3 linked regions of the Canis lupus familiaris genome follow. The protein of the gene in region 3 purifies or fractionates together with the protein of the main gene of each other region. This does not show direct contact. Links are inferred from orthologs where the notes say so. Each region holds a gene or a part of one and is shown on either strand. Other genes may lie near its edges. The genes, in order: ECD, TSSC4 and ZNHIT2.

Region 1 (7,806 bases), on a different chromosome or scaffold from region 3:
AAAATGGTACTGCAGGCAGATATTTCCAGAAAAGTATACAGGCTGAGCTGAAAAATTTAGCTTTTTTTAAATTATGAATTTGGTTACAAAAATTTTTTACTTAAAAAACTTAAAAGCTATAAAACACATGAATTATTTTGATATAAATTTCAAGCCACACAGAGTTATTAGTATCTCACATCTAATTCTCTTCCCAGAGTTAAGCATCCCTGGGTACCCAGGCCTTTATGCAGTTTTGTACATATGTATAAAAACATAATTTAAAAAAATAATTTTTTTTTACATATTTATACATATTGAACAATGGTTTGCTTTTCTACTTATTTATGTCTTAGAAGTCCTTTGTGAAAACATACAGATGGGCCTCATTTTTTCTTAAGATCGCACAATATTTAATATCACCATCTTAGCACATATGTGTCTTTTTCATAGAGAAAATTCCTGGAAGTGAAATTTCTATGTCAAAGGTTATAAACTCTCTAGAGTACCAAAATGCCCTGTAAAAAAAAATCCTACACTTCCACACTCATGGTTTGACAGTGCTCATTTCTTCAACTCTTTTTTTTTTTTTCTTTTAATTTTTATTTATTTATGATAGTCATACCACAGAGAGAGAGAGAGAGAGGCAGAGACACAGGCAGAGGGAGAAGCAGGCTCCATGCACCGGGAGCCCGACGTGGGATTCGATCCCGGATCTCCAGGATCGCGCCCTGGGCCAAAGGCAGGCGCCGAACCACTGCGCCACCCAGGGATCCCCATTTCTTCAACTCTTGAGAAAACTCAGTATTGTGAATATTTTAAATCTTTGCCAATATAATAGGCAAAAAAATAAGTTCTTATTTTGCATTGTGTATTTACTTATTAGAAACAGTTAACTATTCTCCAATATTTATTTGTCTATATTTCTTCTTCAAGGCATTGCTTATTTATATTCTTTGTTTTTGTTTTTGTTTTAAATTGGGCTATTTAGGGATGCCTGGGTGGCTCAGGGGTTGAGCATTTGCCTTTGGCTCAGGGTGTAATCCCAGGGTCCTGGGATCGGGTCCCACATCGGGTTCCCCTTCGGGGGGGTCTTGCTTCTCCCTCTGCCTGCGTCTCTGCCTCTCTCTGTGTCGCTCATGAAATAAATACATAAAATCTTTTAAAAAATTGGGCTATTTGTCTTTTTATTATTAGTGTTAAGTACAGTAAGTTTAAAAGAGAAAAAACAGTATAACATGGAACCCAAGGCAAAACCATATCTAGCCACAGCATTCACTCACTCAACAAATATTCAATGAGCAGCTAGTATGTTAGGCACTGAGCTAAGCATCCTCTGCAAAATCATTCAACTGGGCAGAAGTTTATGATTGAAAGCAATTCAAAATCATGAGGCAAAAGCAAATACTCTGACTTCAAGAGATCCAATGCTCCAGTGCTCTAGCAACAGCTTTGCTATTTACCATTTCAAAATGAAAATAAACATCACAATGTAACTTACCTAAAATTTTGTCAAAATAATTAAGAAAAGAATCTGCATCAAAAGTGATTGGAGCCTCAGAAGGTTCTCTGTAAGATTAAAGGAAAAAATCATTTATCTTGAATACAACTCTCTGGCACTTTTTTTTTTTTTTAAGGCAGTGCCATTCTTAGGAACACTACCATAGATATGATCTCAAAATAAGTGGAGCAAGAAAAACTGTAGTTTAAATGGTCTTGCAAAGCAAAAGAAATGGGAAAGACTGATAAATAAAAGTAAAAATTTCACTTTGTTTATGCATATTTAACTTATGCTGATTCAGGGACCTACCCACCCTGCACTTCCCACAAGATACACACACACACACACACACACACACACACACATACACACACACACACCATCAGCAGGCGAAATCACATATCTGAGTTAATTTTAAGAAAGTCTATTTGTTTAAGAACTAAACTTTTAAAAGTAAGAACATACTTTCTCTTATCTCTGCTTTTTCTTTTTTTAAAAGCTGGCTCCACACTGAGTGTGGAGGCTTGAACTCACAACCCTGAGATCAAGACCTGAGCTGAAATAGAGTTGGACACTTGGGCAGCCTGGGTGGCTCAGTGGTTTAGCGCCGCCTTTAGTCCTGGAGACCCGGGATCAACTCCCACGTCGGGCTCCCTACATGGAGCCTGCTTCTTCCTCTGCCTGTGTCTCTGCCTCTCTCTCTCTCTCTCTGTGTGTGTGTCTCATGAATAAATAAATTAAAATCTTTATTAAAAAAAAAAAGAGTTGGACACTTAACTGATTGAGCCACCCAGGCGTCCCCTTACCCAATCTCTTTTCTTAAAGAGAGAATACAGAATATAAATTTTAATCTTATGAGGCTCAAGAGCATCAACACGAATAAAGATATATTTGCTGTTTAAGTGACAATTCCATCTACCTTACTTTTCTATTACTTGCCAAATGTAACTTCCCATTTCTTCTGTTATTATTTCTTCTCTGATGAGCTCTTTAATCTCCCTCTTTTGAATATGAAACTTCCAATCTGCTTGTGGGGTGGGAGATTGGAAGTGTGGATTTGCTGAGAGCTAGATGTTAGGAGTCCGTAAGATTCTGAGTAAAAGTTTAAAGAGTAAAATGTACGATTTCCTTGCACAGCTCTGGGATGGAAGCTTTTAGATCTGTTGAGTAGTCTGACTTACTTTAAGAATTGCAAAGAATCAGGCTATTAGAAATACAACTCCAGATAACTCATCATGGTATTAGGCACCAAAAGAAGAAACACAGAAGTACAAATCATTTACTGAAAAGAAAAATAAAAGAGTGGAAATGGCAATGACTAGATGACTTCAACACCTGCATTCTAGCTACTTAGATATTTATATTCTAACACAAATTACCGAGGCAGCTCTGCTCCTTTGTGGGTTGAGACTTTGGATATGAAAGCTTTCATACTTTCTGAGACTTGATTTAAGTCATAGTTCTGTTCTTCCTTCTTGGAAGTGGGCTCTGCTTCTTTTTTGCCAGCAACTTCCTGCAGTAGTTGGTCCAGTTGATCTGGTGAGAGATCCAACCACTGGTCATCTGAAAAAGAAGAAAACATGATGCTGCCATACCAAATTCGCATGTCAAGTATTCTCAGAGAAGTGCCCTGTAGACTTAGTGGAATATTTTCATTTTCCCTAATCCTAACTCTATCCTGGTCCATCACTTACCATCTTCTGGGGGAAGATTAGCTTCTTCCTTCTTAAGCTCTTCTATATCAAATGGCATGGTCTGTAATAAGGTTAAGATTTCTTCACCTGGGCTCATAGCAAGACAGCTATAAAAAAAAAAAAAAGACATAGGGATTTTTTCATAAGACAGTGCTGAATAATAGTCACAAAAAAATAGTATTTTAAGGCTGGGAGGAATTATCTAATTAATTTGTTTTTAAACAATTGTTTTAGGTTACAGACCCCTTTTTCTCAAATAAAATTTTACCAGGAACTCTAAAATATAAAAAGAGCTCAAAGAAAACCGCTTTGTACAGCAAAGGAAATCATCAAACTGAAAAGGTAACCTACTGAATGGGAGAAAATGTTTGCAAAATCATACATCTGATGAAGGGTTAATATCCAAAATATATAAAGAACTCACACAACTCGATAGTAAAAAACAATCTGATTTAAAAATGGGCAGAGGGGGCAGCCCCGGTGGCTCAGTGGTTTAGCGCCGCCTGCAGCCCAGGGTGTGATCCTGGAGACCCTGGATCGAGTCCCACGTCAGGCTCCCTGCATGAAGCCTGCTTCTCCCTCTGCCTGTGTCTCTGCCTCTCTCTGTCTCCTCTCTGTGTATTCTCATGAATAAATAAAATCTTAAAAAAAAAATAAAAAATAAAAAAAATAAAAATGGGCAGAGGACCTGAATAAATATTTTTCCAAAGATGTACAAATGGTCAACAGGTACATGAAAAGGCACTCAACATCACTAATTATCAGGAAATACAGATCAAAATCACAATGAGATACGACCTCACTTCACACCAGTCAGAATGGCTATTACCAAAAAGATAAGCGAGTTGGTAAGGATGTGGAGAAAAGGGAATCCTCATGCACTGTTGGTGGGAATGTAAATTGGTGCAACCGCTATGAAAAACAGTATGGAGGTTTCTTAAAAAATTAAAAATAGAATTACCATACGATCCAGCAATTCTGCTTTTGGGTATATATTAAAGGAAATGAAAAAGGAATATTGAAGAGATACCTGCAATTCCCTTTACTGCAGCATTACTCACAACAGCTAAGATACTGAAAACCACCTCGTGAGTGTTTATCAATGGTTGACTGGATAAAGGAGATGTGCTATATTAAATAAAAGGTAATATTATCTAGAGAAATACGTATGTGAAAGAAGGAAATACTGTTATTTGTGAAATGGATTGAACTTGAGGGCATTATGCTAATGGAATAAACCAAATAGAGAATGATAAATACCACATGGTATCACACATATGTGGAATCTCAAAAATAAAATAAAGCTCATAGAGACAGTAGAAAAGTAGTTGAGAGGGACTAAGGAGTGAGGAAAATAAGGAGAGGTTGGTAAAAAGGTACAAAGTTTCTAAATACCTCTAAGGATCTAATTTAAAGCATGGTGACTATAGTTGATAACACTGTATCATATAATTGAAATCTGCTCAGAGAGTAGAACTTAAATGTTCTCATTGCCCACCATAAAGATAAATATGAGAGGTGATGGAACTGCCAATTAACTAGATCCCTCCATGTGTACATATATCAAGTCACCATGATGTACACTTTAAATATTTTATGATTTTGTTCCTCAATTATATCTCAATAAAACTGAAAAAGAAAAACTGCTAAGACTGAAATGGAGTATGGAGGTTCAGAGATGTATCCACCAGTTACATGTATCCATGTAACCTTTGGTTCTGCAGGAGGCCATATGGAACACCAGTCATAGAGCTGGACCAAATGCTGTGAAGAGTCACAGGAGAAAGTAATTAATCATATTAATTACAGAAAAGTTTAAAAAAAATGATAAAGACCATGGAAGTAGTTGAGTTAGGCCTTAAAGAATGGGGTAGGGGCTGCCTGGGTGACTCTGTCAGTTAAGCAACCAACTCTTTTTTTTTTTTTTTTTTTTTAAGATTTTATTTATTTATTCACGAGAGACACACACAGAGAGGCAGAGACACAGGCAGAGGGAGAAGCAGGCTCCATGCCGAGAGCCCGATGCGGAACTCGATCCCGGGACTCCAGGATCACACCCTGGGCCAAAGGCAGGCGCTAAACCGCTGAGCCACCTAGGCGTCCCAAGTGTCCAAACTCTTGATTTCAGCTCAGGTTATGATCTGTGTCATGAGATTGAGCCCTGCACTCAGTGGGGAGTCAGCTTGAGATTCTCTCTCCCTCTCCCTCTACCCCTCCCCCTGCTCACACACCCTCTCCCTTTCTCTTTAAGTAAATAAATCTTAAAAAACAAACAAACAAAAAGAACGGGGAAGATTTTGACAAATAAGACAGGGTAGAAGAACTTCAGGCAAAGGGGGAAATGAGCATCTGTAATAAAAGCAAAGAAGTACAGAGTGTGTTCACAAAGCAAATGTTCAGTTTGGCATAAGCATGGAGGATGAGCTGAACAGATGGACTGGGATGAGAGCACAGTGAGCCTGAAATGGCTAAGTTTGGACTCAATGAAATAAGCCGTGGGTGATCACTGATGGCTTCTTTTTTATTTTTAATTTTTGTTTTAAGAGATTTAAATAATATAGACAAGTCCAAAAGACACAGAAAAAAAAAGATTATATAACAAATGATCATATCCCTACTACCTAGAATTATATTGTTATACTTACTTCTAGTCTAAAGGTATGACTGATTACCCTTATATATTTAGCATAAAAAATTAAACAAATGATATATATGACTATAGTTACAGCTAATATTTTTCCTTTGATAACCAACACTATCAGTTCTAATCCATTTCATTACTGCCCAGAGGTGACTGCTCTTGCAAATATCCTTCTGGTCCATTGAGTGCACACACATGTATTTATGTTGTGTTTGCTGTTTGTTCTCTTTCTCTGGAATTTTATTCCTTCAGATACCTGTACGCCTCATTCCCTCACTTCATTTATATCCCTTCTCAAACAGAATCTCAGACATCATAGTGGCACCTGGGTGGCTCAGTTGGGTAAGGGACGGACTCTTGGTCTTAGCTCAGGTCATGATCTCAGCGTCATGAAGCTGAGCCTCACATCAGGCTCCACACTCAGCAGAGTCTGCTTATGGATTCTCTCTCTTCCTCTCCCCCTCTTTCCTTTTGTGCTCTCTAAATCAATCAATCAATCAATCAATCAATCTTTAGAATAGCAGCCTGTTCATCCCTCTCCTCATATACTGTTTTTACTTCAAAGCACTTATCACCATCTAACATCTATTGTCTTTCTCCTATACTAGCATATAAGCTTCATAAGGCAGGGAGACTCCCGGTTCACCTGTTATATCCCCAGTGCCTGGAATTGGGGAGATACATACATAAGAGATACTCAACAAATATTTGTTGAATGAATGGATATATACATATCCATAAATAACATATGGCATTTTGTGTACTAAACATTTTTATATGTATAACATCCATACTCTACATATTTACAACTTGCTTTTTTCACTCAACATCATGTTTTCAAAATCTATTTATTTAGATCAGTGGTTTTCAACTGGGGATAATTTTGCTCCCAGAGGACATCTGGCAATGTCTGGTGATATTTTTGGTTGTCACAATTGGAGGTGGTGTGGAGTGCTACTGGCATTTACTGGGTAGAAGTGAGGGATGTTGCTAAATATCCTATAATGCACAGAACAGTTCTCCACAACAAAGAATTATCTGATCCAAAATGTCAACAGTGCCAAGGTTGAGAAATCCTGGATTAGATTTACGTACATTTAGCTAATCTCTGGTTAACTAATGGATAGTAGTCCATCATACAAATACATTGCAATTCATTTATCTACTATCGATGGATACTTACGTTGTTCAATTTTTCATTGTTACAATCTCTAATAATTTTTAGGAAAGGGATTAAAGATGTTTGAAGATATATTTCAGGCATATTCTCCTGGCTCTAATGGTTGCTTTGGAAGAGAAGAGTCATTAGAGGTTAGGAAACAAGTGTAGGTATTGCCATAATTCAAGAAGTAAGAAAAAAAAAAAAAGAAAAAGAAGTAATTAGAGTAAGTGGGTGGTAAAAAAAGAAAAATGCAAGATACAACATGATAATAAAAAGGATCAAGGGACTGGATACAAGGAGAGCCAGGGAGTCTAGGTGACAAGAAGTGGGAAACAGTCTATGATATTAATCCAGGTACTTAAAAAACAACAATAACAACACTGGGAATTCAAGAATAGGTTTTGGTGGGAGATGTGAGTTTGGTTTTAAACTGTTGAGAAGTTTTCCTTGTTTGAGGAATGGGAGTCTCTTTTGCAACACTATTTAAAATGCTGGCCATGTAAGTTACTTATAATTCTTTCTCCAGTAGTAAAAATGTGGTAAGTTATGATACATCAATTTGCTGAAATGTTGTGGAGCTCTTTAAAATTATGCTTATAAAGACCTTTTAATGTCATGGGGAAAAGTAAGATTATAATGAGTAAAAATTAGGGACAGAACACAAATTTTTATATAGTATAAAAATGTTTTAAAAATAACTAGATGGATATGGGGGGCAGAATCCTGGAAGGCAATAGATAAAAATGGTAATAGTGGTTGACTCTCTGGTATAAATTTTTTCCTTATTACATCTTTCTGTATTTGCTATAATGAATGAATGTGCTACTTT
Region 2 (8,321 bases), about 5.7 Mb from region 3:
AGGCCTGCGGCTCCTGCCTGCCCTCATCCCCTGCCCTCACTGGCAACCCCTTAGCCCATCACACTCCCAGGGAGGGCAGAAAGGCTCTGTACCCTGATCTGGGGATGACGGGCAAGGGCAGACCACTCCATGCAGAGAGGCCTCGGTGATCCCAAACCCACTCAAAGGGCCTGGGTGACCAGGGAAAGGGAGGATGGAGAGATTGCCCAAATGGAGAGCACCCCATGCCAACCAGCTTCTGCTACAGGGTGGACTCTGTAGCCCAGTACCTCGGGGGCCTGAGAGAGCAAGAAAAGCGCATCAAGCGTTTGGAGTCACAGGTAGGCAGGCCAACCTCATGCTCCTCTGACCTGGGGCCCTCACCCATAGCCCTGCACCCCAACTAACAGGTCCACAGTCAGGCTTGGACTCAGGAGGCAGTGTAGGGAGAGTCCCTGGGGGGTGCAGGAGCTGTACCTGCCCCCGTTAAGTGATCCCTCACTGTCCACACCTGCAGCCTTGCTCTCACGCCCATTCCCTCGAGTACAGACCCCAAAGGGGAGGGTCATAGGCTAGCAGGGGCCCCGGGGATTCCCTGGATGTTCTCCCTCCTCTAGATCAACTACTGTACGGTGCTCCTGTCCTCCATGGCCCCGAGCAGCACCTCCTGGAGTAAGTGTGTGTCCGGAGAAGACAGGGCTGCGGGAGGGGCACAGGCTTGCCTGGGGGCAGGCAGAAGCCTGTTAAGCTCTGCTGTGTCATCTGCCTTTCTGTTCCGCAAGGGGACTGGCCCAGGCCTCTGATGGCCCTTGGTGGGAGGTGGTCTTTAGGGTGGGGCAGGTGCCCTCTGCCAAAGCCCACCACCTCAGCCAGGCGTGACGCCGTGGCCACTCAGACTCCCTTCCCTGGGCCTACCCCCCTGGACACCCAGCAGCTAGGGGTCCTTCTTCCTCACCAGACTCCCAGAACTTCAAAGGTGGACACCAGCAGGCCTCTGCTGACCACAGAGGGGGTGCAGACAGCAGGAAGCACCCAGAGGCTGGCCGGCCGCTCTCAGACACCTGAGCTACTTGGACTCCTGGCACACAGGGCCCACCTCTCCCCGAGCCCCAGATCAGGATGGGCAGGCAGGGTCTTGGCCCTTAGCTGGCCATCCCAAGGCCCTATGGACACACCAACCTTCCCCTACCTCTAGTGCAGCCCTCAGTGGGATGTAGCTCTCAGCCTTGTCAAAAGAAACCACCCCTTGCCCTGCCGGGTACCCTCTCCACCTGGAAGCACGGTGGTGTATGGTAGGCCCTCCTCCAGACTGGTGGAACCTGTGGGCCCCTACCCAAAACTGCCCAGCTCAGGCCAAAGCACTTATCTGGTGGGCAAATTTTGGGGCCTGTACCTGTCTCCTATCAGACCCATGTTGCCTGTTAAAAGACTCATTTTTTTTTTTTTAAACACTAGCAGCTACAACTTCTGCTCTTTAGGACCTGGGGTCAGGGGTTTCCTACACACACTGGTTCCCACCCCTGCACACCCTCAACTGCTCACGTGGCAAATGCTATCCTGAGAAAACCTGCCGTGTGTGTGTGTGTGTGTGTGTGTGTGTGTGTGTGTTGGGGAGGGGGGTAGGGGCTGGCTCCTGTGCTTGCCCGAGCTACATCCTGGGACAGGATGGCTTAACTCTGCTAGGTCCTGCCACCAGGACCAAGGGAGACATCTGTGTCTGGTCTGCCTTCCCGGACACCCTCAGGGGTCCATGCACCCCAACCCAAGGTTGGGCCAGTCACACCACCAGTGCCCCTGCACACGGCTCAGCTGTTCTGGCGATGTGACCAGGACACTGGTCATCATCACACATGGCCCGGATGAGGAAGTCCCTGACCCCACTCACATTCCGGCCTCCTGGAGACCCATCTCATCACCCTGTTGGGAGCAGAAGCTGGACACCTGGGACTGTGAGGTTGCCCCCTCGAGGGCCTGGGGCCTTCTCCACCTCTTGCTCTGGATCAGGAGAGCTGGAAAGAGGGCCTGCTGGTGAACCCAGGCAAGCATTTAAAAAGCCTCCATGCCCACTGGAGATTAAGTTGAAGAGGCTCAAATGAGAGAACCGGGTGTTGGGTGTACAGCATGGCAGACAATGGCCCGAGGCGCAGGATCTACACAAACACACACACACAAAGTCTAAGCAACACCCAAAACCTTTACTGTGGCCCCACAGGCATGTGGTGGGCCAGGGTCTTTGCTGTCCACTGGCAAGCTGTCTGCTTCAGAGACCACTATCCCGAGCCCTAGCCCAGGCTGCTGGCGCCTCACACTGGCAGACCGCTGGCTCCCTTTCCAGGGCGGGGGGCCCCAAGCTCCACTCCACTCCAAGTGGCCAGTGACCCCGGCTGCCCTCCTCCACCGCATGGTCAGGAAACGCCAGCCAGGCAGTCTCTTCTCTCAAATCTCTGCACCTGGGGCCTCAGGTGTGTTGTTCTTGTTCCGGAAATGGTCCCTGCTCCGCTTCCTGCTACCATGGAAGCCAACAGTCTCCACCACTGGGGGCCCCACCGCTGACCTAGCATGGGCAGCCCCCTGTGGCACGTCCACTTCCTGTAGCCCCCCGTGGGGGCTGTTCTCTTCCTCAGCCTCTGGGCTCCCAGGCCCTGCCAGGTGGGCCAGCTCCACAGGGCCCTCGCCCCCTGCTGCTCCCAGGTCCCCAGGGGCACCCCTGCCTGACTCTCCTGCCTTCCTCAGGGCCCTCTTCCTCTCAGGCCTGGCCTCGCCAGCTCGGGCCGGTTTGGTGAAGATGACTCTTCCCTCCCCACAGCTGGAGGGATCCTGGTTGAAGGACGGCATGTAGTCTCTGGGGCCAGCCAGGCTCTGGGAGCTCAGGAAGGCCAGGGCGGCAGCCTGATTGCTCTGCTCACTGACCTCGGCTACGTTTTCCAGGCTGTACTTGGTCCAGCGCTCAGGGTGGGCCATGTAGTCAGGGATGGGGGGCAACTTCGTGGGGGCAGGGCTCTGACTGGCCCTGCCCGGGCCCTCTCCTGGACGCTGGTGTGAGGATGCTGGTGGCTGCATGAAATCCCCATGGTCACCCGGGTCTTGCCTGGCTGCGTCCTCCAGGCAGTCAAAGATGTTGCGGCTGCGCCAGGAGAAGGTGGAGCTCGTGCCTCTCAGGTGGAAGGGCTGTACTGAGGCTGTGGGGAGGCCTTTTGGAGGCAAAGGGGTCTCATCGGGGTCTGAGTCCCCCTGGGCCTCCCCAGATAGCACCCCCGGGGGCAGAGCTTCCATCTCAGTACCGCCAGGCAAGCTGAAATCGGAGTCCGAGTCACTGAGAGAGACGGTGTCGGAAGGCAGAGCGTCATCCTCTGTTCCTCGCTCGGCTTCCAGGGGCTCTCCTACCCCTACCTCAGACATGTGTCCCAGGGCCACCACACCTAGACCAGAACAGCCCAAAGAGTTCGTTTCTGAGGATTGCACCCATTTAGGACGGGCCCCTCCTATAAACCCACAGTCCCTGGGCAGGCGGCAGGGCCAGAAGGAAGAGCTATGTCCTACCAAACAAAGGACAGAGATTCCCACACCCGCCCCCCCCTCAACGTCTCACCTCCGTTGTCTGATGAACGTCTGTGCAGACACCAGAATTCTGGTGGGTGAAGTCCCGGCAAAGGCGCCCGGTGGCCTCAGTCCCGGCTCCGCTTAGCTGCTCAACTGTAGCGGGCAGAAGGTGGGAAGGGCAAATCGTCAGGGAGCACCAGGGCAAAGCGGTACCGCGACCCCCAGGGGGCGGTCCTGGGTTTCCGGGGCCCAGGCCCAGGCCGGCCTGGACGCAGACCCTTCGGGAAGATCTTCATTCAGCCCTCTTGAGCTAAGTCTAGGGGCCCGCTGGGGGTTAGGCAGGCAGCAGCCAGGGCCCAGCCCGGGGGCAGCAGCAGGCTCTGCGCTCCACGACGGCGCTCGACCAGGCGGCCCGTCCACGAGCTGCTCGGCACAGCTGCGCCACCTGCCTGGGCAAGGCAAGGGCTGCCCCTGCCTGCCCAGACGCCCCGGGACTCCACGCGGGTCTGCAGCCGGGGCCTCCGCGTCTGACCGTCAGGCCCGCGGGGAAGTGGGGGGTCAGCGGCCGCCCGGGGCATCCTTGCGGGCAGGGCAAGCCCGCGGCTCCGGCAGCAGCCTCTCCTGGCACGTCCCCGCGAGGGAAGGAGCTCCGGAGGGCGGGGCGCCGCCGCGACCTGGGGGGGCGGCCGGGCCGGCGGGCGCCCCGGGGTCGGGCACAGCGCCCCGCGACAGCGAGCGGCCGCGGCGGCTCCCGGGCTTCTCCGCGGAGGCCGGCGGCTCGGCCGGGGCAGGGCTGGGGCGCGCTCGGCCGCCCGTGGAAGCCGGCGCCGGCTGTCTCCGCCCCGGCGGGGGCCTGGCCGCACGCGGGCCGCGGCTCACCAGGCTCGGGGAGCCACCAAAGACGCGAAACACCTCGGGGATGTGGGGCGAGGAGGCTGCGAAAAGGCGACCTCTCTCCCGCGCCACAAGCCTACCGGCTCAAAGCCGCCGGGCCGCCTCCATCTTTCGCCGCGCTCGGCCTCCTGGGAAACCGAGTCTTCCGCCGGCCCGGCGCCTCGGCGTCCGCACCTGAAGAACTACACCTCCCACAAGGCACCGGGACGCTACTCCCGAGGCCTGTCGGGTCCCGTAGCCCCTGCGCATGCGTCCTCGCTTTTCTCCCTAGCCTCCCCCCTCCCCGGAAACGTCGGCTCTCCTTCGCGCAAAGAGCCGGAATTGAGGAGGGAAAGGAGGAGGAGGAAGAGGCAGCACTGCGACTCCCAGAATGCTCCAGGACTAACGGCCAGCGCCGCGTTCCCGGGGCCCCAGCGCCGCCTGCTGGAAGTCGCGAGCACAGCGGCCGCCTCAGGCCGGAAGTGCATCGTCGCACGCGGCATCGTCGCCGGGTGCTTCCGGTCAGGCCGGAAGTGCGGGCCGCCCGCTCGTGGGTCGGGGGAGGGGGAGGGGGAGGGGGTGGGGGGGGGCCGGGTTCCGTCTGAGCGCTCGGCTCGCGGTCCCGACGGCCCGGCCGGTGCTGCCCACCTGACGGCCGGTCTGGCCGCGTCTCTCGGGGCCGCGGTCCTGGAGTGCTCGGGAAGCCCGCGGACCCCTCGTTTCCGGGGCCGCCCAGCATGGCCTGCGGCAGCACCGGGCAGCTAGGTCGGGATGCCCCAGCCCCCCAGCCCCGCCTGCAGCTGCAGTGTGCCGCTGTGCGAGGATGCCCCAGGGACCCCGCCCTCCTGGGGGCCCCCCAGCCCCGCCAGCAGCTGCAGTGTGCAGCTGTGCGAGGGCGCCCCAGGGACCCGCCCTCCTGGGGGCGCCCCAGCCTCACCTGCAGCTGCAGTGTGCCGCTGTGCCAGGGCGCCCCAGGGACCCGCCCTCCTGGGGGCCCCCCAGCCCCGCCTGCAGCTGCAGTGTGCCACTGTGTGAGGATGCCCCAGGGACCTGCCCTCCTGGGGGCCCCCCAGCCCCGCCTGCAGCTGCAGTGTGCTGCTGTGCGAGGGCGCCCCAGGGACCCGCCCTCCTGGGGGCCCCCCAGCCCCACCTGCAGCTGCAGTGTGCTGCTGTGTGAGGATGCCCCAGGGACCTGCCCTCCTGGGGGCCCCCCAGCCCCCCAGCCCCGCCTGCAGCTGCAGTGTGCCGCTGTGCGAGGGCGCCCCAGGGAACCGCCCTCCTGGGGGCGCCCCCAGTCTCGGTCTCCCCAGCACAGACTGGCTGTGCTGTGCCTGCAGGCCAGGATCCCCAGGGTCGTGCAGGGGCAAGTAAGCAGGGCTGCTCCTTGGGCCACTCTGTTCTCTCAGGGACCCACCCTGGCACACAAGGTGGAGGGGTGTGGCAGGAGGGGCAGACCTCACTGAGACCTGATGACCCCAAAAGTAGGGCTGGGGCCAGTTTCCAAAACAAGCGCCAAGGGAGGCAGCTGTCAGCCCTCCACATGAATCCCAGCCAGGCCCTCATGGCCTCAAGGGGCCAGTTCAGCATACACCAGGTCAGTGCCTGCACTCAGCTCATGGTGACATCACCCAGCACTCCCGAGGGGGTGGGGGTGGGAGGAGGCAGCTGGGCCCCGGTCCAGGACGGGGGTGGGTCGGGTGGACTCCGCACACAGTGGCTGAGACCTTGCTCCCCAGCTTCTCCACGGAACACCTAGAAGCTCTGAAGAGTCCCTTCGGAGCATGGGAGGGTCAGTGTGCCTGTCCTCTACAGAGCGGGCCCCCAGGATGGAGGGGAGTCTTGCAGGCTCTACGCCACATTACCTGAGTGCCCCCTCTGGGCAGTGGTGTCCACAGAGTGGGTAGGGGAGTGAGCTGGGTGGAAGCTGCTGACGGTGGCACCGGGCCCACCAAAGGGGCCCCTCACACCCTGCAAGGTCCGCGGAGCTGAGCCAAGCCTCACCCATGCCGGCCCACCTGCCGCTCCAGCTGCGCCCTGGGTCTCAGACGCCGCAGCCACAGGAAGGGGCCAGACAGTTTGTTAGCATGCCCGGTTTTTCCTTCTTTATTGAATGACTTTGAAGATGTAATTACAGCTGAAGGTGACGAGTTAGAGAGGACAGGTGCACTGAAGGTGAAGGCTGCTGGCAGACCCGGCTCGGGACAAGTGGCGACAGGAACGAGGGTTAAAAGGCATGAGCCGTGCAGCCCGTGGGCAGGTGGGTGGGCCCCGGGGCCCCCGGGCCCCCGGGAGAGGCCTGACTAAGCAGGCGGAGCCCCCAAGCAGCTGCAGAAGCAGAGCGGCCCCTGCCTCACGGTCCCCAAGGCCCACTCACACGCCGTCTCTAGGTGACTTCAGCCCCAAAAGGTAACGGGGGACTTCAGGACAGAAAACCTCAGAAGTAAAAAGGCTAATAAGTGTAGCAGAGTAATACCAGAGAAGTTATATACACAGGCGCTGACGGCCCCTCCTCAGAATGTCCGGTCACTCTAGGGGCCCTGCAGGGTTCCCAGCGGCCCTCCCCGCAGCAGGTGCAGCCGGGGCCGCTCAGTACACGGAGCTGTTCCGGATGCCGCAGCAGAGCACCATGCTCAGGATCATCTCGAAGATCTGTGGGGACGGGTGGGTGGGACTGTCAGCACCCGGAGACTGTGGGGCCGCCTCACGCGGATGCCTGGCCCGTGTACTCACCATGATCACGGCCACCACGATGGCTGCAATGCCAATGAGGTACAGCTTCCCCGAGAAGAGGTCATCGATCTTCTGGTGGCAGTCCTCCTGTGGGGGACAGCCCGCCGACGGTCAGGAGTGCAGGCCCTCGGGCCCCTCAGTGCAGCGGCTCGGGGTCATTGTGGCAAGAGAAGGGAGGGGCTCGATTCCCTGAAGACGTGCCACCAGGGCCTGGTCTCTGCCAGGTTATCTCACGTCCATTTTAAAGCAGATGTGGAGGGGGCGCCTGGGAGGCTCAGCGGGTGAAGCATCTGTCTTGGGTTCAGGGCAGGTCCCGGGTTCTGGGATCAATCCCCATGTTGGGCTCCCTGCTTAGCAGGGAGTCTGCTTCTCCCTCTGCCCCTCCTCCTGCTCGTGTTCTCTCTCTCTCTCTCTCTCTCCCTCTCCCTCTCGCTCACTCTCTCTCTCAAAATGTTTAAAATAAATAAAGCAGATGTGGAAACGGAAGGTGCTGTGTGCAGAGCCAGGGGCCCAACCCAGCTGGGCTGCTGGACGCGACGTGGGGCCAACCCTGGGCGGCCCAGTGGGCTCCATGTACCTTGAACAAGTTGCTAATGACGTTGCTGCCAGAGGGACACAGGCTGTTCTTGAGCATGGAGGTGGTGAGCGCGGAGAGCGTGCTGGAGCCACAGCAGTTGAGCTGCACGGAGGACACCTGCGGTCAGCCCGGGCCGTGTGCACAGAGGACCACAGGGACACGGCCAGGGACATACACCCCGTGGGCTGCCCAAGCCCCAGGGGTGTCCCCAGCCAGGGAGGGTCTGCTCCTCAAGAAGAACAGCCCAGGACTCCTCATCCCCTCCACCCTTGGCTGTGCTGCTCAGAGACCCCCACACCCAGGCCTTCCTACTGCCCATCTGGCTCACACAGGGGACCTGCAGGTCCCAGACAATCCCCTGGGCGGGGGGGGGGGGGGGGTCCCAGATAGGGCTCCACGGCCCTCCAGGAGAAGGGCTTCCAGGTCTCCAGTGCCCCACGGAGACCAGATTCAACCCCAGCCAGGCCTCACTCACGGAGGACAACCCTCCTGCACCCCCAGCACCCCCTGCCGCACCGTCTCATGGAAGGTCTTCACCACGGCCTTGGCATTGTTGGCTTCGTCGTCCACCACGGCCTGCTGCAGAGCCTGGTCGTAGAATTGCTTCACATCCTTGGCGATC
Region 3 (7,584 bases):
CGTATTAATGACAGCACCAAACCCACTGATATCAGAATGGAGGCGGCCTCTGGCTAATCATGAGTATGTGCTGGACACATCATGTTTCGTGCTGCCCATGCATCATGTCAATGAGTCCTCAGCTCTGTGATGCAGGTCCATGATTATTTTCATTTCCCACATGGGATGGGGGAAAAGTGTCTTTGGAGAGGGTAAGCTACTTGCCGAAGTGGCAGAGCTGAGATTTAAGACCAGGTCTGTTTTCATCCTCAAGCCTAAAATGTCCAGTGGCTTTCTATGTTGCTCTCCCCAAAGGAACATTACTGGACAAGGCAAGAGCCAACAGGAGGTTGCACCTCTGGAAGCATCTGTTGGTCTTTGTACAGGGGCTGGATCCATTCAATAAAGGGCCCAGGACTTGGTGACTGAGAACCAAGACAGATAAGCCACTGCCCCATCTAGGTGCTGCCACCTCTGTGGAGATAGGCTGGGGACAGACTGCCCTGTCCTCCCTCTCCCACAACCCCAGGTCCTCATCAACCTGGCCATGCTGATGCAGGAAGCAGAACTTCGGGGGAGTCCCTCACTGGCCATGTGGCTGGTCAATGGCTTCCAGCTACTCTATGTGGGTGATGCTCTCTGGCATGAGGTGAGGCTGGATGGGGTGAAGAGGCAGGGAGGGTGTTTGAGGACCTCATGGGGACTAAGCTAGTGTTTCTGGGTCTCATCCCTGCAGGAAGCTGTTCTCACCACCATGGACATCACACATGATGGGTTTGGCTTCATGCTGGCCTTTGGGGACCTAGCCTGGGTACCCTTCACTTACAGCCTGCAGGCCCAATTCCTGCTGCACCACCCACAGCCCCTGGGGTTGCCTGTGGCCTCAGTCATCTGCCTCATCAATGGTCAGTCATGAAGGGGCTCCTACCCCTTTCATTCATTCATGTTGTTTATTCAGTACCCGGTAGGTACTAAGCCTCAGGCATTTCCTTAAGAAGGGGTGGAGGTGTGTGGGGGGCGGGGAGGACTGGGTCCTGGGTCTCCAGGCCAACTGAATCTGGGCTGTGGGTGGATGGTCAGTCAGGTAGTAGGCTAAAAACCTTAACCCTGACCACTTGTTCACGCTTTCCCTTAGCTGTTGGTTACTACATCTTCCGAGGAGCTAATTCCCAGAAGAACACCTTCCGAAAGAATCCTTCTGACCCCAGAGTGGCTGGTGAGCTGGGTTTCTAGGGTGCTACGAGGTGGTGCAGCAGGGCTTCCTACAGGTTCCCTCATCCCATTACCTGTCTTTCCTCAGACCTTGAGACCATCCCCACAGCCACCGGGCGACAGCTGCTGGTGTCTGGGTGGTGGGGTATGGTCCGCCATCCCAACTACCTTGGAGACCTCATCATGGCTCTGGCCTGGTCCTTGCCTTGTGGTGAGTGGCATGGGTGGGCACAGAACAGGGACCACGTCAGGGACAGAGGTGGTGATCACAGGATGCTCAGTCTGGGTGTGGAATGGAGAACAGGGATACACCCTAGTAGAGGGAGCAGTCAGGAGGCTGGGAATGGACTGCGTAGCTGTGCCAGCACCTTGCTGCAGAGCTGGACCTTTCACCACAGCCCCAATGTCCTATGAGCCATTAGATGTGGAAGTCTTTGTGAACTGGAGGGGCTGCTGAGCGATCACAGCCTCTACTTCCCCACAGGAGTGTCTCACCTGCTACCCTACTTCTACCTCCTCTACTTCACGGCACTACTGGTACACCGTGAGGCTCGGGATGAGCAGCAGTGCCTGCAGAAGTATGGCCTGGCCTGGCATGAATACTGTCGGCGTGTGCCTTACCGAATCCTGCCCTACATCTACTGAAGCAGCTCCACTCACCCCAGACTGGGGCATGTGCACTCAGCACCAGGAGACTGGACTCCTACCCTGCTCCAAGCTCCAACAAGCAGGGATGAACAGCCCGGGAGAGGTGCTCTGGAGCAAGGAGAAATGAAGCCAGTGCCCAAAAATGGAGTGGAGGGGCTGTTCTTTCTCCTTGGATAAACATCTAGAAACCATGGTACCACTTCCCTCCCTTTCTGGGGCCAGGGCGTTTAAAACTTTCTAGGTAAGCTCTGATCCAGGAAAAGCTGAAGTGGTCTATGGGCCCAAGAGTCTGGGGGTGGGGTGGGCAAGAGCTGTTCCTCAGAAACAGGCACTGCTGACAGGGAAGACCAGCTTTATTAATGACAAAGAGATCCCAGTTCAGCCAGGGAGCTCCTCAATGAGAATTCTTGGAGCAGGTGGCAGGGGTCCTCCCCAAAGCTGCTCCAACTCCTCGGTGAGGGCTACCACCTCCTCGGCCGCCACAGCATGGGCTCGATGGGCCCTTGCACAATCTAGAGCCAGGGATGTGAGGGCCGCCTCATTTTCATTGCTCCAAGCCAGCAGGAACTGGCACTTCTTCCGCGCCCGATAGAGGCGATCTCGCTCTTCCGTAGCCACAGCTTGCTTCCGGGCCTGGCTCAGGGTCTGTGCCAGGTGCCCCAGGGCTGCCAGCGTGTAGCCTTTCCGGTTGGCGGGGCTTTCACCCATCAGGATGCGGGCGGCTTCGCGTATGGCACCCCGTGTGCCCAGGGGCCCAGGCGGATGCTCGCCCGCTTCCAGCACCTGGGCTGCGGCCTGCAGGGCTTCCTCAGCAGAGGCGAAGACCTGCTGCGCACCCAGGGCTCCGGAAACGCCGAGCAGTGTGGCACAGAAGTCAGAGAGCAGTGCTTCGTCGCCGCCGTGATACAAGACGAGAGTGTGCGCATAGGCGAACAGCACGTTGGGCAGCTGGAAGCGCACGAGCGGCGAGGCCCGGCCGCGGCTCAGACTGGCCAGCACGGGGATCCGGGTGGGCACGGCGGGCGCGCAGGCCTCGGGAGGGTCTTCGAGAAACGGCTCAGCGGCGGCCTCCTTCACGGGTTCCGGGGGCGTCCTCGCGGGGGTGGGCTCCAGCTCCGCAGGGTCACGGTCCGCAGCATCACCCACCTCCTCCAGAAGCCGCGGCCCAGCCCCGCGGCCCCACCACCACGGCCTCCATGGGGGCAGCAGCCGCCCGGCCTCGCCACGATTCAGCAGCCGCTCGAAGGCCACCTTCTCTGCCGGGGCCAGTAGCTCCCAGAGTCTGGAGGGCCCGCCTGGCGCCGGGCCAGGCCTGAGGCCTGCGTCCTCGGGGTCGTCCTCGGTCTCGCGTTGCCGACGCAGCCGGCGTAGGGCGCTGGCCAGACGGCTGGGCGAGGCGCTGCGGCCGCGAAGCTCGCCCAGCACCTGGTCCCGGTAGAAGTCTTCGGCGCAGGTGCCATGCGCCCGGTAGCAGCGCAGGGAGCAGTAGGGCACATTACAGCGAGGACAGGTGTAGCGCGCGGGCTGGGCCTCCCCGGCCGGGCAAAAACCGCACGGCCCGGCCGGCTCCATGGCAACGGGCGCCCCGCGCCGCTTACGAACGCTCTCAGGCCGCGCGGGGCAACTTCCGGCGCTAACCGGCTACTTCCGCCTCCGGGCAAGGCCGACGGGGCGTGGTCAAAGCCCCCGAGGACTCTCGGCAACTTCCGCCCCTGCTCGGTGGCCAAGCCCCACCCCTCTATCTAGTAGCGCTCGAGCCGGCGCCGGCGTGGGTCGAGGGGGCTGGTGCGCAGCCGGAGCTCCGCTGGTGCCCGCCCGCCCCCCAGTGGCTCCTTTTTGAGCGCTATAAAACGCCCTTGGGGAGTCGATCTTCGTGAGGCCCTACTCGGGCCACTAATTGCGCAGGGCCCTGGGGAAGGAGGCGTGTTGAGCTGAGGGGCAGCCGTTCTCCTACGGGACAGAGACCAGTAAAGCGAGATGTAGAAATAGGGTGAATATGGACTACGTGGCCGAGACTCTGTTTTTGGAGGTGTTTCCCCTCTTGAGAAGAAAGAACAGGTAACTGAGCTCCTGTTTGGTTTCCCCTCCAAATCCATGGTTCATCCGACCTTTATTTTTTTTAAAGATGTTATTTATTTATTTGTTTGTTTATTTATTTATTTATGAGAGACAGATACGGGGGGGCGGGGGAGAAGCAGGCTCCATGCAGGGAGCCCGACGTGGGACTAGATCCCGGGTCTCCAGGATCACGCCCTGGGCTGAAGGCGGCGCTAAACCGCTGAGCCAGCCCGGCTGCCCCGGTTCATCCGACTTTTAGTACCGAATCCATGCTATGTGCCAAAACACGAGGAGCAGAGATGGGATCCCTCGCCTGATGGAACTTCGTTTGAGGCCTTGATCCATGGCACCCGGGGAAGTGAGCTCTGGTTCTTTAGTCCCTCACATCTAGTCCTGTGGAGGCCGAGAAAATTAGGGCCATTCAAGTTTAACATTGGCACAAGTACAGCCATTGCACCTTGGGCAGCCATCTCAGGCCACTGTGACCAGGTACTGAACTCTACCCCAGCTACAGAAAAAAACCACAAAGCATGCCCTTATCAGAATAAGGAAGCAAGGGATCCCTGGGTGGCGCAGCGGTTTGGCGCCTGCCTTTGGCCCAGGGCGCGATCCTGGAGACCCGGGATTGAATCCCACGTCGGGCTCCCGGTGCATGGGGCCTGCTTCTCGCTCTGCCTGTGTCTCTGCCTCTCTCTCTCTCTCTCTGATGACTATCATAAATACATAAAAATTAAAAAAAAAAAAAAAGAATAAGGAAGCAAGAGCTTGTGAGACCTCTTTACTGGAGATTCTCACACCCCCACCCTTACTGAAACCCCCCCCCTTACCCCTAGACCAGCCCATAGAAACCCAGCTGTAACCCACCTCAGGGTCCAAGTCCCTGCTTCACTGTGTCAGGTATACTTGGACCCAAGCTCAAGCTTGTTAATAAACCCTTATGTGCTTGCATCCGTGTCAGCTCCTTGGTGGTTTTCTCGGATTCACAATCTTGGGCACAACAGTCCCATCCCAGTAAGTTCGACCTTCATAATACCTTGTCGTTATTTCTACATGGATCATCTATTTATCAAGATCTGGATGGAGATCCCTGGGTGGCACAGCGGTTTAGCGCCTGCCTTTGGCCCAGGGCACGATCCTGGAGACCCAGGATCGAATCCCACGTTGGGCTCCCGGTGCTTGGAGCCTGCTTCTCCCTCTGCCTAGGTCTCTGCCTCTCTCTCTCTCTGTGTGACTATCATAAATAAATAAAAGTTAAAAAAAAAAAAAAGATCTGGATGGATTTGATGACCTTCAAGTCCCTTCATTTTCTACATCCCCATTACCAGTCTCAGCTACTAGTCCCTTAACTGGCTCCCTTTCTTGCCAGCTGTTCAGAAAAATCAGCCACAAATTGGATCACCAGTCAGATCACATGATCACATCAGGCCCTGGCTTAAACCCTTCCCTGTACTTGGTAACTCTTCATTGCACTTGGACTCAGACCTGAACTCCTCCTCTCCATGTCTGATGAACCACACAGCTCTGCACACAGTCCCCTGGGCTGGACCTCTTCCATTATCTGATAGGTTTCAGGCCTCATACACCCCAGATTCAGAGGCCTTCCCTAGGATGTCTGTCCAACTCCACAGTCCCTTTCATTGTACCACCATTAATATTTCAATCTTTTTTTTTTTTTTAATTCACGACATAGAGAGGCAGAGAGACAGGCAGAGGGAGAAGCAGGCTCCATGCAGGGAACCGGATGTGGGACTTAACCCCGGGTCTCCAGGATCAAACCCCAGGCTGAAGGCAGCGCTAAACTGCTGGGCCACTGGGGCTGCCCACCAGGTCTCTTTTTAAAAAGATTACTAGAGATAAAAATAGGCTATATGTTTGCACATTTGCTAGCTGGAGGATTCTGAATCTAAGCCCTTCATATCTTTTATTCTTCACAGCAACTCTCAAGCTGTGATGGCAGAAATCAAGTAAGTTGTTTAAGGTCAGAAAATCAGAAGGAAGGATTCAAATTCAAGGCAGTCCAAGCCCGGATCTAAGGTCTTTACTTATGTTACACTGTATTTCAAGAATCAGCAGCATAAAAAATTTAGCAAAATGAGAGGAGATCCATGTTACTAGGGGAACCTCACGAGTCCCAGAGAATTCCACTCCCAGAACACTCAACTAACCAACCCACCATCCTAAGCTGTGATTAGGTTAAGGAAGCTAGCTAGTCAGGTGGAGGTACAAACAAGCTTAGTGTTAACATAATCAGGCAGGCAACATTCTAGAGACTACTTTTAGGCAACAGGCTTGAGCAATGGAAGCCCGGATAAGGTAGAAGGGCCCATAGTGACCACCGGGCCAAAATAGGCCCATTAGCAATCCACATCACCATAGCCCTAGCTGACCAATGAGCTGCTTACAAGGGATAGCTACTAAAAGTTCCACACATTCCCCTAACTCCACCCCTCTCCCTTAACTACAGGCCATCCCACTGCCTCCTGGCAGAAAGTCTCTCCTTTGACGCCACCACCCAGGGATCCCCCCCCCTCCAGAGTATTCAACCTGTGTATTTCTTTTGTTCTGCCCTAGGCAAACTCTTTTAGGGCTGGCACTGGCCTCTACCCAATAGGGTTGGCCCACACTTTCCCAAATAGGTACAGACTAGATCCCTGCCCTGGACTCCATTAAAGTCATAGCTGGTCTCAAGTTCAGGAAAGGTCAGATTAGCCTTCCCTGATAGGTCTTTTTACTCAAACTCCTCTACTGATGTCTTCATAATCCTCCTGAGAATTGTTATTGTCTGTTTAAAGAACAAGAACAGGGTGCCTGGGCAGCTCAGTTGTTTAAACGTCTTACTCTGGGTTTCAGCTCAGATCTTGAGATGGAACTGTGTCCAACCCCATGCTCAGATGGGGGTCTGCTTTTAGATTTTCTTCCTCTGCCCCTCCCTCAAGTAAATATATCTTTAAGTTACTATCTTTGGATTACCAATTCTCATGGTAAGCCTTTTCTTATGGAGTTTATCATTTCTTCTCCATCCTAGCCAAGAGCCCCTGCATCTTCCAACTTGACAGTGGCAAGAATTAAGATTCAGGCCTCAATGTTCTAATGAACACACCAGCCCTAGAAACCGTGTATCTGTGTATCTTCCTGAGGCTCTGCGTGTGAAGATGAAACAATGAGATGACTGAACCAAGTGGCTTTATTGGGGAGAGCCAGGATTACAACGGACTTAAGAGTTGGCATTGGGGCCCTTCTTCTTGCCAAAGGTGGGCACAACATTGACAAAGCGTCGGTTGTACTGCATTCGTCGCTTGGCTCGGCCTGTCTTCTTCTTCTTTTTCTCCTGTTTGGCCACCTGGGAAAAGGGAGGGATGATCAAACCTTGGCTGACCTTTCATGCATTCCCTCAGTCTTAATTCTAGAGGGAGAAGGCAGACTGAGGAAAGACCAAAGGTCTTGCTTGGCTTAGCTTTGATTTAAAACAAAATGCATAAAAACCCCTCACAAATAAACAAAACACAACAACAACAACAACAACAAAACCCAAAGTCTAAACACCCCGCTAATACTTTCACCTACCTTGGGAGTCTGCCCTCTTACTTTCCCAGCACGGGCCAGGGAACCATGGACTTTACCTGGGGTGGGAACAGTCAAAGGACAGTTAGGAGTGCAAGAAGGACCCGCCCGGCAGAATCCTGTCTT

The links.
Region 1: the proteins of ZNHIT2 (region 3) and ECD purify together in Homo sapiens (affinity purification with mass spectrometry; 3 studies listed by BioGRID and IntAct, counting the BioPlex papers as one, with this or other methods). This does not show direct contact. The link is inferred for Canis lupus familiaris from reciprocal best matches to the Homo sapiens genes ZNHIT2 and ECD.
Region 2: the proteins of ZNHIT2 (region 3) and TSSC4 purify together in Homo sapiens (affinity purification with mass spectrometry; 3 studies listed by BioGRID and IntAct, counting the BioPlex papers as one, with this or other methods). This does not show direct contact. The link is inferred for Canis lupus familiaris from reciprocal best matches to the Homo sapiens genes ZNHIT2 and TSSC4.

What each region holds. Positions count from the first base shown.
Region 1 is NC_049225.1:24,455,267-24,463,072, forward strand, and holds part of ECD (protein ecdysoneless homolog), read right to left. Parts: intron 3,282-7,806; coding exon 3,175-3,281; intron 3,044-3,174; coding exon 2,860-3,043; intron 1,549-2,859; coding exon 1,481-1,548; intron 1-1,480. UniProt on the Homo sapiens protein: Regulator of p53/TP53 stability and function. Inhibits MDM2-mediated degradation of p53/TP53 possibly by cooperating in part with TXNIP. May be involved transcriptional regulation. In vitro has intrinsic transactivation activity enhanced by EP300.
Region 2 is NC_049239.1:46,927,268-46,935,588, reverse strand, and holds TSSC4 (protein TSSC4), read right to left. Parts: upstream 4,687-8,321; 5' UTR 4,399-4,686; intron 3,673-4,398; 5' UTR 3,569-3,672; intron 3,399-3,568; 5' UTR 3,379-3,398; coding exon 2,416-3,378; 3' UTR 2,154-2,415; downstream 1-2,153. Other genes in the region: TRPM5 (transient receptor potential cation channel subfamily M member 5), read left to right, coding at 248-320, 597-651, 938-1,044; CD81 antigen, read right to left, coding at 6,979-7,041, 7,123-7,209, 7,700-7,801, 8,216-8,320. UniProt on the Homo sapiens protein: Protein associated with the U5 snRNP, during its maturation and its post-splicing recycling and which is required for spliceosomal tri-snRNP complex assembly in the nucleus.
Region 3 is NC_049239.1:52,579,723-52,587,306, reverse strand, and holds ZNHIT2 (zinc finger HIT domain-containing protein 2), read right to left. Parts: upstream 3,478-7,584; 5' UTR 3,412-3,477; coding exon 2,218-3,411; 3' UTR 2,175-2,217; downstream 1-2,174. Other genes in the region: delta(14)-sterol reductase TM7SF2, read left to right, coding at 509-628, 716-884, 1,115-1,195, 1,280-1,402, 1,676-1,836; FAU (ubiquitin-like protein fubi and ribosomal protein S30), read right to left, coding at 7,112-7,237, 7,462-7,517. UniProt on the Homo sapiens protein: May act as a bridging factor mediating the interaction between the R2TP/Prefoldin-like (R2TP/PFDL) complex and U5 small nuclear ribonucleoprotein (U5 snRNP).